3 linked regions of the Coturnix japonica genome follow. The main gene of each other region encodes a partner of the protein of the gene in region 2 in a complex. Links are inferred from orthologs where the notes say so. Each region holds a gene or a part of one and is shown on either strand. Other genes may lie near its edges.

The links.
Region 1: the proteins of FGFR4 (region 2) and KL are in contact, whole or in part, in a cryo-EM structure (PDB 7YSW), measured with the Homo sapiens proteins. The link is inferred for Coturnix japonica from reciprocal best matches to the Homo sapiens genes FGFR4 and KL. Residues at the interface, in NP_001341913.1 of Homo sapiens: Asp266, Gln282, Leu284, His286, Ile287, Ile289, Gly295, Ala296, Asp297, Gly298, Phe299, Pro300, Tyr301, Val302, Gln303, Val304, Leu305, Lys306, Asn311, Ser312, Glu314, Leu318, Tyr319, Leu320, Arg321, Asn322, Asp327, Thr332, Leu334, Leu341; in NP_004786.2 of Homo sapiens: Ser539, Gln540, Phe541, Thr542, Asp543, Asn545, Val546, Tyr547, Leu548, Trp549, Asp550, Val551, His553, Ser554, Lys555, Arg556, Leu557, Ile558, Val563, Thr565, Arg568, Tyr571, Val573, Ala576, Gln579, Pro580, Glu625, Arg628.
Region 3: the proteins of FGFR4 (region 2) and FGF23 are in contact, whole or in part, in a cryo-EM structure (PDB 7YSW), measured with the Homo sapiens proteins. The link is inferred for Coturnix japonica from reciprocal best matches to the Homo sapiens genes FGFR4 and FGF23. Residues at the interface, in NP_001341913.1 of Homo sapiens: Glu156, Lys157, Lys158, Leu159, His160, Ala161, Val162, Pro163, Asn166, Asp240, Leu242, Glu243, Arg244, Ser245, Pro246, Lys272, Val273, Tyr274, Ser275, Asp276, Ala277, Gln278, Pro279, His280, Ala308, Asp309, Ile310, Ser312, Gly336, Asn337; in NP_065689.1 of Homo sapiens: Leu32, Gly33, Ser35, Trp36, Gly37, Tyr43, Ala45, Thr46, Ala47, Arg48, Asn49, Ser50, Ile75, Arg76, Ser77, Glu78, Asp79, Ala80, Gly81, Val83, Val84, Tyr93, His117, Gln118, Thr119, Asn122, Gly123, Tyr124, Asp125, Leu158.

Annotation. Positions count from the first base shown.
Region 1 is NC_029516.1:155,927,690-155,931,984, forward strand, and holds the start of KL (klotho), read right to left. Parts: upstream 2,807-4,295; 5' UTR 2,795-2,806; coding exon 2,042-2,794; intron 1-2,041. UniProt on the Homo sapiens protein: May have weak glycosidase activity towards glucuronylated steroids. However, it lacks essential active site Glu residues at positions 239 and 872, suggesting it may be inactive as a glycosidase in vivo.
Region 2 is NC_029528.1:12,077,189-12,081,375, reverse strand, and holds the start of FGFR4 (fibroblast growth factor receptor 4), read left to right. Parts: upstream 1-1,384; 5' UTR 1,385-1,399; coding exon 1,400-1,940; intron 1,941-2,032; coding exon 2,033-2,122; intron 2,123-2,210; coding exon 2,211-2,377; intron 2,378-2,460; coding exon 2,461-2,584; intron 2,585-2,785; coding exon 2,786-2,976; intron 2,977-3,055; coding exon 3,056-3,194; intron 3,195-3,276; coding exon 3,277-3,470; intron 3,471-3,630; coding exon 3,631-3,776; intron 3,777-3,878; coding exon 3,879-4,000; intron 4,001-4,083; coding exon 4,084-4,187. UniProt on the Homo sapiens protein: Tyrosine-protein kinase that acts as a cell-surface receptor for fibroblast growth factors and plays a role in the regulation of cell proliferation, differentiation and migration, and in regulation of lipid metabolism, bile acid biosynthesis, glucose uptake, vitamin D metabolism and phosphate homeostasis.
Region 3 is NC_029516.1:67,144,449-67,148,647, reverse strand, and holds the start of FGF23 (fibroblast growth factor 23), read right to left. Parts: upstream 2,807-4,199; 5' UTR 2,685-2,806; coding exon 2,462-2,684; intron 296-2,461; coding exon 192-295; intron 1-191. UniProt on the Homo sapiens protein: Regulator of phosphate homeostasis. Inhibits renal tubular phosphate transport by reducing SLC34A1 levels. Up-regulates EGR1 expression in the presence of KL. Acts directly on the parathyroid to decrease PTH secretion. Regulator of vitamin-D metabolism.

The sequences.
Region 1 (4,295 bases), on a different chromosome or scaffold from region 2:
AAACCAAGTATTGGTAACTTGCCTGGTTGAATTGTACTTTCTACAGTGCCTTGACAAGCTGGTGCCTCGGTTTCTCCATTGGTAAATAGAAAAGGCGTTTTCCTTCAACAACCATATCCTTCAGATTATGAGAGACTCAGATACTGCGGTGATGTGGGATATCAATACTCAGAACAGACAGCACTATGGAAAAGCCAAGGACAGACATAGCATTTATTTATCTGGCCTAATTTAATTTGAGTCTGAAGCTACAGACTGAACAACAGGTAGAGGGGAGAACTATACAGAACAGGAACTGCCTTATTACCTGCTTATTTTGCAGAAAATAAAAAGTAATAATAATAATTTTAAAAAAATGAAGTGACAGACAGCATTAAAACTCTTTCTCAGCAAGTCCACCGCCCTTAAAGTAATTATTCCAAAGTGATCTTTCTTTTGACAGCCTGAGTGCTTACATTTGCAGCTATAATGATTTCTGTTCTGTGTCATCTCTAGAGGGAGAGACACAGAGCTCCAGCCTCTGAGGTTCTGCACCCCACAAACCAAGCTGACACCTTTACCCTCGTGTGGAGCCCCACTGCCTTCAGAGTAACTATGCAAAGCGTGCCAAACAGCACATCAGCAGCTATGCAATGACTCTGAAAAGCATAAAAATGTGAGGTGATGCAGCCCTGCTGCAAAACTTGTGGCTAATCCTGCAAGTACTGAAGTTTAGGAATAGCTTTATTTATTTACTCATTTAGTTCAGTGAACTGAACTATCACAGCACAGACTTGGCCAGGTTGCTCCCTAAGGGTTGCTGAGAGTGCAAAGGTTTCTGGACCAGGAATTTCAGCACTGCCAGGTATCTTGCTCACATCCTCCCCACCTATATTTTGTCTAAAAATCTGCGTAACTCTAAACAATGCAAAGGAAGTGGCAAAAAGTTGAGTGAGAAGTGTTGGGTGTTTTCCTGAAGTTCTCATCTCATGTATGACACTCTATAACACAGACTGCTGCGGGTAAGCCATGTTTGAAGGTTAGCAGAGAACGTAAATGTGCACCAACAGACCATGCCTTGGGGGCCACATCACTCCTGGTATTCAAACAGGAGTCTAGCAGTCCTTTACCCTGATGGTAAAAAGATCTGTACACAATTTTGCTTAATTCTCCCCAAGAATTCACAAACGCTTCCAGGACAAATTACAGTTATACTATATTCTCTCTATAAAAATTATTTATAGCAAAGTATTCATGCCATTGACTAAACTAGCTGACAAGGAGAGTTGTTTTTTTCTTTTTTCCAACATTATTTACATTGTCAAAAAAAGCCTGTATTTTGTCAAGGGCATCCTTCAGCGTGACATTTCAGCTACCTCTATTGTCTCCGCTAACTCAGTAAGACTTGTTTAAATCAAATGTTTGAATTCCTTCTGTAGCTGTGTTGAGTATTTCCACAGTAACTGCAAGTGCTGAACCGGCACAGCTGAATGCGTCTCACCCATCACCAATAGCACTTGCAAATGCTGGAGGGCAGAACTAAATATTTCTGTGGCATACAGAGAACATTTCAACTCCGTGTCACAGGATCATAGAATGGCTTGGAGGGGAAGGGACCTCAAAGATCATGTTGTACCACCCTCCTGCCATGGGCAAAGCTGCCAACCCCTTGATCAAGCACTGTATCAGGTTACCCAGGACCCCATTCAACCTGGCCTTAAACACCTCCCAGGGACAGGGCATCCACAACTTCTCTGTAACTTTATCTTGACGTTACCTTAAGATAACTGCAAATAGAAAGATCATATCTCCAGTTTACAAAGTGTATGTTTTTTACCTGCCTACCATCAGGGAGCATGGGGCACATTCAGCCCCAGCCGCCATTCCACACTGATTTAGTTTCCAATCCAGCTGCTGCCCAGCAAATTGATCCGTGCAACGAGGAAGGCTGTGGGTACCCTTCCTGCTGACATAATCCATGGCCTGAGGAGCGACTGCAGCTCCTCTGATGGGAGGAGAAGGCCCCTTCCCACCACCCACTGTGGGGCCAACCGTCATTTACCTGCAGTAAGTGGTGTGCCACACGGTAGCCCAGGTGTGGGCCACCCTGCACGTTGGGTGGCAGCCTCCCAGTGCCATATCCATGCCAGGCCACCACATAAGGGTTGTCCATGGTCAACCAGTAGCGGACCTGTCCACCAAAATGCTGGAAGCAGAGCTCGGCATAGTCACGGAAGAGGTCAGGCAGGACAGGACTGGCCCAGCCGCCAAAGGCATCTTGCAAGCCCTGTGGCAGGTCCCAGTGGTAGAGAGTGACGACAGGTTCTATGCCCAGCTCCCTCAGCCGGCTCAAAACTCGGCCATAGTGAGCCAGCCCAGCGGGATTGATGGGTGCTGTGCCATTGGGCATCAGTCGAGTCCAGGCCAGTGAGAAGCGATAGTGGGAGACCCCCAGGTGCCGCAGCCCCTCGATGTCGCGGAATATGTTGTTGTAGCTGTCGCTGGCCACATCACCTCCTGTTGGACCTGGCAGGATGGACCCTGCTGGAGTGGTGGGTCGATGGGTGAAGGTGTCCCAGATGGAGGCCCCTTTGCCGCCCTGCCGCCAGCCTCCCTCTGTCTGATAGGCAGCACTGCCCGCACCCCAGAGGAAGCCATCGGGGAAGGTGTCATAGAGGAAGAGTTGGTCCTGCGGGTAGGGCAGGCGGGCGAAGCGGGCCCAGGTGCCCGCGCCCTGCCCCGGTGCCCCAAGCAGCGGCCGCCCGAGCACCAATAGCACCGGCAGCACTGGAAGCACCGGCGGCGGCGGGGCCATGCTCCCGACGGTACTTCCCTCCTCCCAGCCCCCCGCCGCCCCCTTTTATCCTCACCTTACTCCTTCCCCCCCGCCCCGGTGGGCACGGCCATTAATAATTACCTCGGAGCTGCCGCCCGCATCCTTCCCGGTCTGCGAGGGGAGCAGAGCGGCTCCCGCAGGGAGAAGGGCTGCCTCGGGGGCGGGACCCGGGCTGAGACGGGGCGGGAGGCTGCGGGGCGGTGGAACCGAGTCGGCTGCCCTCTGCCCTTCGGGGTCACCTCCTTCACCCCTGCTCCTTGGGGCGAAGATCGCGGCGGGCGCGGCCCTGCAGCCCCCCGGGTCCCTGCGGGGAGCCCGCACCTGGACGCGGTTTTGGAGCCGTCCTCCTTCCCTCCCTCCTTTTGCTGCTGCTCCATTCGCCTCCTGTCCCTCAGGGGACACAAACCGCCTTCTCAAGGAGCCCCCGAGGGCCCCGACGCCGCGTTCTTCCGCCTCTCGCCGTCGGGGGAGCCGAGGTATCCCCGAGCCCCGAGGGGAGGGAGCACCTCTCAAGTGGAAAACGCGAGGAAATAAAGGTGCTGTGCTGATGGCTGCTGCTTTTATACTTTTTTCCTTCACCTGGTAGTTTCTTTGTGGCACTGTGTCAAGTGATATTGCCATTGTGATCACTCATAGTAATAATCAGAGACTCGGTGACCAAGGACCTGACACCCCTGGTAATTCATGGGCCGGCACCTTGTAGTTGTATCGCCTTCTCCTTTCTGGGACTGGAGGCTGGTACATCTGGCTGCTCACCAAACACAGAACATTTTCCAATGAGAAATGCCTCAGAGAAACAAATTGAGATGTACATTTCAGTCTGATAGTTTGGTTACACTTTGTATCTGCCCGTGTGGGCGTGATGCAAAGATCTCATCCTAAAGACAGGTCTTACGTTGCTGTTCATGTCGGCTTCAGACAACAACACCTGGGCAAGAACTGCCTCAAAACATTGCAAAGACTCAGTACTTGGTTGTGTGAACTCTAACACAAGTTGGGACACCTCGGAATAAAACACCAATTAGACAGGCTGTTAGAGAGATGTTCCCAAGAGATAAAGTTGTTGCTTAACAAAAGAATGAAGGCATTAAGAGCATTTCATTTTATTTTTAGAAAATAGACGCCCTCGAGGTAAAATTACAGGTAATGACTAGTAATGAGCTGATGGATTGAAATGCCTCTTGAAAGTTGCTAAAGGTTTCTTCCAGAGTGTAGGATGGGTTTTTGTACCTCTCAGGTCCAGGCAGAGCCTTTCTCTTGTTTCGTCTGTTTCTGTTAACGGTGATTAACTTGTTCCCACTGGAGGCAGATAAAAGTCTGAATGGGGGACCACTGTCAGCCCTTCCTAAAGGGAGGAAGGTTGCGGTGTGGGAGCAGGCAACTGGCAGGCTGGGCATCAGCTGCTATGAGTTTGCTATAGTCTGACAAGTGACTAATGTTTGATTACAGGCCAAGTGATAATTTGAGCTCCAGCTGTAGC
Region 2 (4,187 bases):
CGGGAAGGGAGCGGGACCCCAGGAGGGAGCGGCCGAGCACAGCACGCGGCGCTGCTGCAACCCGGAGTCACGGCCCCGAGCAACGGGGGGGGACAGCGGCAGCCCCCGGACGGCGCAACATCGCGGCACCGTCTCAAAGCGGCTCCGCGGGGAGCTCCGGGGCTCGGCTCCCGGCTTCGTTCCCGCACGGACCGGGAAAACGGGACGCGGCCGGGACCGCTCCCGGTGTCGGGGGTCTCTCCGCGGAGAGGTGTTTATGGCACGGATTAGGGCCGGGCCGGCCCCGCCTCGCAGCCCCGCGGTGTTTTACGACGCAGCCTTATGGACTCCTAATGGGGGTCACGGCCACTTGATGGCCCCGGCAGCGATAACGCCGCGCTAATTGCAGCGGCGGCAATTAGCCCGAGCGCCCAGCCACGGGAACGGCGCCCAGCAACGCGCCGCGGGGGCTGCGGGCTGCGGGCGGTGGGCGGCGCCGAGAAACGGCCGGGACCCGGGGGCGGGGGATCGCGGGGGCCCCGCACGCCGTGACGTTACGCGAGTGACGTGAACGCGCCTCGTGCGCGTGACGTGGTCCCGGGCAGCGGGCGGGGCCGGGGCCGCCCCCGGCGAGGCCGCCCGCGGCGCCGCGTAACCCGAGCGCCGCCCTACAAAGTGCCCGCGCCCTCGGCACAGCGCGGCGGGGCGAGAGTCGGGGCCGCCATGGGGCCGCGGCGCTGAGCGGAGCCCGCCCGGCCCCGCAGGACTTTGCCCGGGCCCTCCCCGACGAGGCCGGTGCGGGGCCGGAGCAGCCGGAGCAGCCGCGCCGTCGGGGCTCCGCGCAGCCGGCGCTGCCCGACGGTCGCGGGGCGCCGCAGCTCCTGGCCGCGGTGCCGCTTCCCACGGGAGGCCCGGAAGATGCTGCCGCTCTGGCTCGTCCTGGCGGGGCTGCTGCTGGCGGTCGGCCCGGCCGCTTCGCACCGCGGGGAGATGGAGCCAGGTACGGACGGGACGGCTGGGGGGGTGAAGGCGGCTCCGGTGCTGGTTTTTCCCGGCCCCGCTTCTCGTGCTTTCGAGCATCGGCAGCCCGGCTGCGGGCTGGGCTGGGTGCTGCGGGCGGTGCCGGTGCGGTGCGGTGGGGCGCACGCGGTGCTGACAGCTGCGGGGCTCGGGGCGCGGCGGCGGCGCGTGGAACACGCGGACAGGGCGGGGGCTGCGGGTCCCGGAGCGGCCGAACCGTCGCTGCTTTGGTTTGTCCCAGCGGTGGTTTTGCTCCGAGCGGCTCTTGAGTTTAGTACAGAGCTGAATATTTGCTTTGGAGCCGCTTTACCAGCGTGGGCCGGGTCCGCGGGGAGCCGGAGGTGGTGGTGGAACTTTGACGCTGATCGCTCCCGGTTCCTTCCCGTCCCAGTACGGCAGAATGGGCGCAGACCCCTCTGGAAGGACCGTGGCGTGGGTGGCCTTGGCCGGGAACGCGGCAGTGCCAGGCGGTCGCGGGGGAAGCCTTGTCCCAGCGCCCGGGGGCAGAGTCCAGCCCTTGTACACGCGTCTCTGGCCAGGACGTGTGTGTGTGTGTGTGTGTGTGTGTGTGTGTGTGTGTGTGTGTGCGCTGTGCACGCCGAGAAGCGCGGTGGGTTCCTGCTGTCCGGGGCGCTGTGCGCGGCGCTCAGCGCGTCTCTCCCGGGCTGCAGAGCTGATTGAGAGCCCGCTGCTGGAGTCGGAGGAGCAGCAGCTCCTGTTGGAGCCGGGCAATGCTCTGAAGCTGCACTGCAACGCTAACCGCAGCGGTGCCACTGTGGTCTGGTACAAGGAGTCGCGGCCGCTGCTCCCGGGGCCCCGCGTCCGCCTCCAGCCGGGCACAGTGCAGATCTCTGAGGTCGCCTACGAGGACTCGGGGCTGTGTGTGTGTCGGGCGCGGGGCACCGGGGAAGTCCTGCACAACTTCACCATCTCTGTAGTGGGTGAGGGCCCGGAGCAGCACTGAGGGGAGCACAGCCTGATTTACCCCATCCTGAAGACAGGGGCACCCCTCGTGACCCGCTTTCCTTTGCAGACTCGCTGGCATCGGGTGATGACGATGAAGACAGTGATGGGGATGGTCCCCACGGAGACCGCAGCGAGGAGCCGGTCTATGTGCACAGAGGTGAGTGCTGTCATGGGGGGAGCGACTGGGGGCAGCCCCCACCCGAGGCCATAAGCCACATCCCACGATGCCCCCCGTCTCTCCCCAGCACCGTACTGGACTCACCCTCACCGCATGGACAAGAAGCTGTATGCTGTCCCTGCGGGGAACACCGTCAAGTTCCGCTGCCCGGCCTCGGGCAGCCCCAGCCCCAGCATCCGCTGGTTCAAGAATGGACGTGAGTTCCGGGGGGAGCACCGCATCGGGGGCATACGGGTAAGGGCCCCCCCCCATGTCATCCTCTCCTCCTGGTGTCTGGCTCAGCTGCAGCCCCCTGAACCTGTTGCTCCCCGTCGCAGCTCCGGCACCAGCACTGGAGCCTGGTGATGGAGAGCGTGGTGCCCTCGGACCGTGGCAACTACACCTGTCTGGTGGAGAACAGGTTCGGCAGCATCCGCTACAGCTACCTGCTGGATGTGCTGGGTGAGGGTCCGCAGGTGGTGCCAGGGGGGTCCCTGCTGCCACTGTGCTGGCGAGAGGGGATGGGCTGCAGGGGATGAAGGCAGAGGAGCCCATCCTCATCTGCTCTGCTTGAGCAGCCCTCGTGTCCCAGCACCTGAGGGAGGTAGGGCTGGGACCCCCCTGGGTACTGTGTGTGACTTTGCCCCTATGCCCTGTGTGCAGAGAGGTCCCCGCACCGGCCCATCCTGCAGGCGGGGCTGCCTGCCAACACCACTGCCCTGGTGGGCAGCGACGTGGAGTTCTTCTGCAAGGTGTACAGCGATGCCCAGCCCCATATCCAGTGGCTGAAGCACATTGAGGTGAACGGCAGCAGCTATGGCCCTGACGGGGTGCCCTACGTGCAAGTGCTCAAGGTAGCAGCTGGGGGGTGGCAGGGTCACATGGAGCTTGTCCCCACACAGGGATGCTCACGGTCCCTCGTTCTGCCCACAGACCGCAGATATCAACAGCTCCGAGGTGGAGGTGCTGTACCTGCGCAATGTCACCATGGAGGACGCAGGCGAGTACACCTGCCTGGCAGGGAACTCCATCGGCCTCTCCTACCAGTCAGCGTGGCTCACTGTGCTCCCAGGTAGGGCTGAGGTTAGAGCTGGGGTTAGGGCTGAAAGCAGCATGGGGACCGTGGTGTGGACTGACGTGTGCTCTCCTTCTAGAAGAAGAGCTGGTGCATGAAGCTGAGACCTCCGAGGCCAAGTACACCGACATCATCATCTACACGTCGGGCTCGCTGGCTGTGGCCATGGCCCTCATCATCGTGGTGCTGTGCCGCATGCAGACACAGTCGAGCAAGCAGCCCCTGGAGCCCATGGCAGTGCACAAGCTCTCCAAATTCCCACTCATCCGACAGGTGAGGGCTGAGCTGGGGGCACCTTGGTGACAACTGGCCCTGCTGCTGCCACCTGTCCCTGTTGCTTGTCCTTGGGGCTGCCCTCACCCCATTGCTCTCAGCAGCACCAGGTCTCAGTGTGACTCCCAGGTGTCTGAGGGCTGCTGTGCTGTCCCCGCAGTTCTCCCTGGACTCCAGCTCATCAGGGAAGTCCAGCACGTCGCTGATGCGTGTCACCCGCCTCTCCTCCAGCTGTGCCCCCATGCTGGCGGGCGTCGTGGAGATGGACCTGCCCCTGGATTCCAAGTGGGAATTCCCTCGAGAAAAGTAAGGAGCTGGAGAGGGCTGGCAGTGCCGGGGCACTGTGCCCCATGGGCTTGGAGCAGGGTCAGCCCCACTGTGTGCTCACAGCTCTGCCTCCCCTGGCAGGTTGGTGCTGGGGAAGCCCCTGGGCGAGGGCTGCTTTGGGCAGGTGGTGCGGGCGGAGGCGTACGGCATCGACAGGCAGTGGCCGGACCGAGCTGTCACCGTGGCTGTCAAAATGCTCAAAGGTATCAGTCGTGCTGTGGCGTCCTGGGCATGGCTGCTGCATTGGTGCCACCCCAGCATCAGTGACACGGCCCTCTGTCAACAGACAACGCCACTGACAAAGACCTGGCTGACCTCATCTCCGAGATGGAGATGATGAAGCTGATGGACAAGCACAAGAACATCATCAATTTGCTAGGAGTGTGCACG
Region 3 (4,199 bases), on a different chromosome or scaffold from region 2:
TCAGATGAACTCTTTATCAGGTCTACAATTCAGTGCAATCAAAGAGGAGAAAAAGTTTAACCTAAGCAGCAGGTTATCAGCTTGCCAAAATCTGCATCCTACTGCTGTACTTATACAGATTTGCTCTATGTGAGGAAATGGATCATATATAGCAGACTGTGCCTGTCTTTTACCTGTTAAAGGTAACTTACCGATCCAAAAATGTCTCCTTTCATGTCCATGCATAGGTAGCGTCCACTCTTCACACCTGTGATTATCACAGAGCCAGCACCCTCAGACTTGATCATTAAGGCACCTTTTTGAGAAAGCAAAGATGTCAAATCCAGAATCCCATTTGACACCACACTCTTGCCTTGCTGGTCCACATGCTGATTTGAACCCATCTTCTATGTCAGCTGGGACTATTGAGCTCCTTAGATCAGGTACGATGTGGCTTTGTTTGATCCTTGGAAAGTTCCTACAGTGGAGATGCCACTACATCTCTTGATCTGATCTTGATCTTTGTCTGAACCCTTGTTCCAGTGCTGCACTAACATTCCAAAGAAATTTTTTTTCTAACATCCCAATTGAAGCCTCAAATTCCACTCTGGGCCAGTTTTTCCTTTGTTCTGTCTCTGGCCATGACCAGAGGGAGTCTGACTGCCTCATCTTTATGACTGCCTGTAGTGACTGCCCCATGGTATTCACTTTAAACTACTTTTTACCACATTAAATAAACTTAGTTCCCTCAACATTTTCCAAAATTGTTTATGTTCATGTTCAAGGCCACTGACTATCCTGAAAACTCCCTGCTAGACCAGTTCCAATTTCTCCACGTCCATCTGAAACAGAGTTTTTTTACATAATAATGTAAAAAGACCAGGTTCATTGGTGCTAAGTAAAGGCTGAAAAGTAATTTCCCTTGACCTGCTGACCACAGTACATGGCTTGCCATCTTCTTAAACTGAGTGTGTGCCCTCTGTAACCCTTAGTTCCTGCCCAGAAGGGCTGCACACATCCAGCCTCCTCCCAGCCTGCACAGCACTTTGGACTTTCTATTTACCTGGAATCTCACTGCTAGTGGTGACCTGGCAGAAATTCAGTCACCTTCCCTTTCATGACCCCACTGACTGATTTCAACCCCTCCTACTCAATCCTTCCAAATATATGTGGATTTTTTTCATTACAGATATGGGCAAAACATGGATTTTTACTGGCTGTTTTCTCTTTTGCTTCTCTCTGGTTATAGCCCAGCATGCCAAAAAACAAATTTTATAAAACCCATAGATGTATGGGAAAAATAACATTAAGACAGAACATACATTCCTATAAGTGTTTCATCAGTAATTCCTTAAAAGAGAAATACGGGAACTTGGTTATTTTTTCTCTTTGATAAATTAAACTTCTAAAATTGTCTTTTGTTCCTTATATTATTTTGCACAAGTATTACAAGATGTGCTTATTAAATATAGTTGTGTGGATGAAGGGCATGTTATGCAGTAGTAATAAAAATGACTTTATGATGCATAGCTACTTGTGATTTGAGTGCTGTTAAAAGAGAAGCAATTTTGGAATCCTATCTAAGAATGATTTGTCCTAAAAAAAAAAAAAGACAACCAAACCAAACCAAACTACACTTTCTTTCTTTTTCTTTTCTTTTTTTTTTTTTTTTTTAAACTAATGAATTTGTTCAGGCAGGCATCCAGCAAAGAATACCTGCATTTTCCATGAAAATAAACTACAATGGAACCTTTGAGTTACAAAAGGGAATAATTACCTCTGATGGACTCAGAAGGCTTAGCACTTCTTAACTACAATCTGGACTTTCACAGTTTCCCCCCATTTTATCAACTGTTGCACACTCAGTTACCCACATTCCATGCACAACTAAGTTTCTGCCATGCATCTGCATTAAAAACACATAACTAAAGTTTCTCTTATAAACCAATCTTCAATAAAGAGTGGTTTTGATACATTTGGAAGAAAATGACCTAATTTTAGTAGATCGAATATCTCCACCCCAAAATATGTTATGACCATAATCTGGTTTCCACAACTGCTGTGGTGATTTTTCTCAGTGCAATGCTATCATTGCAGTGGAAATGTAATCACTAATAAAAAATTCCACAAGAAACCATGGGTAAAATCATAAAATGAAGGATAATTCAGGTAATTTTTGCTTGCAGAGCATCACAGGAACCACACAACTTTAGTCATCTTAGACAAAGATAACTACCTGTTATATACCCCTTGTACCCCTTATGTATATACCTCTTCCCCACCTGTTATATTTCTTTAAAGCAAAGTATTTGTTAAACAAAATGAGTATTAGAATTGTGTATGTTTTTGATCCCATAGCTCTGCTCCTCTCTTTGTATGCCTGGCAAGATGATGGAATTTTGTATAGGTATAGAAAAAGCAAAAGTCTTGATCCCCCTCCCCTACTCCCATGAAGACAGAGGGTCCATAATAAGCTACTTACTGTAAATGGTTTGGTGAGGAACACCACTGATGTGTCCATCAGCATTGATTTGGAGATGGAAGCTGTTCCTCTCTGTAGAAGTGTACAAGTGCATCAGCTGATCTCCATTCCCCCAGCTGGGATTCAGTAGTGGAGAGGAGTTAGGGAAGGCAACTGCAGCCTTCAGTATACACAGCACAAGCAGCGCATACTCCAGGCAGCTGCAGGGACTGGTGTGTGTCATGGTTCTCAGCTCTTAGTGGCTGTTCCGTATCTGAAACTTGATACTCCTTTGCGCTTTTCACTTTCCCTTGTTTGTCTGTGTCTGCAGCAAGAATCCTCAGATAAGTTCCCTTCTTTGCAGGGCTTTATGAAGAGCAGGATAAGTGACATCACACAGGAAAACAAAACAAAACAAAACAAAAAAACTTGTCCACATCCTTGATTTTTGTCAAAGCAACATTTTAAGTTTTCCAAAACCTCAAGGGAAGGAAAGCACGTAGGATCTCTGGGCAAGGTGTAGGGGGAAGAAATATAAGGTTTCTAAAGACAGCTCACCAAAGCTAATCATATGTTCAAATGTTATCGACAAACTTGTGACATCTTAAAGTTTCCTGTGCCTCTACTGTTAAATCCAGAAAGAGCAATCCACTGTAATTTCTGTGAAGAGAAAGGAATGACCCATTAAATTTATTGTGTTTTTTTTCCCCTCAGATTTAGATTTCTACCTCCTCTCTTCATTTCTAAACTACATTCTGATTAGTTGAAAACAGCAAATTAAAACCAAAAACACAAGTTAAAAAAAAAAAATCACAGATCCATCATAATCTGAGATTAAATTGTTCTGGGTCTGTTCCTTCATTATGGTGTGACTTTAGCAGTGAGTTTGGCGGATTGATGTCTGTGTCACCTCATTTAAGCAAGTGAAACTTGATGTGCACACACCTCACTCCAACTAAGCTCTTCTTTTTATTGCTCCTCTTTGAATCACTTAAATAATTTGGAGTTGACCAAACAGCTGAAGATCAGCTGCAGAATACTTAGAATCTGAAGTTTGTTCCCTCATTGCATGTTTGGTTAGTGGTCTTTTAGAGAGCCACATAGGTTAGCATGGCTAGAAGATCTAGGATCTGAATCAAAAGTAAAATCACTCATAATGGCACATTTCTATTGATTCAGGTATAGCAAACAAGCTTGGGATGTGAGTAAATTGAAAAGAAATAAGTGTAAAGTGATGTTAAAATGGTTTCAAGATACTATATCTGCTTTTTCGTTTGTCCTGTCAATGTACAACAGTTCATCAGCAACTTTTTTGATTAAGAAACATATATTGTTCTGCTTATTGTATAGAAGTACTGTACTAAGGGGATGCTGGCTATACAGATTAAGCAGCAGTGATAGGAATACTTGTGACAATAGGCTGTATTTAGCTGTTGGCTTGTTTGTTTCAGAAATGAATACAGAATGAAAAGAGCACAAAGCAATAACTGAATCACTTCTTAAGAAGACGCCTGGAGATTTTAAGCATAACAGTCCTAGATTCACTGCTTTCAGGCAGAGAAGTTAGTAAGTTACAGGATTTAGTTAGACACTGTGAAATTCTTAGTCCCATCAACAGCTGTGGAGCAGTGCCATCAGCACAGAATACAGCTTGATAAAACTACCATAGTAGATCTGATTATTTTTTAAGTTTAAAATTAGTAGAACTCTGCCAAATTCTTCTATCACACCTGTGTAAATCTAGAAACTTGCACCTGTG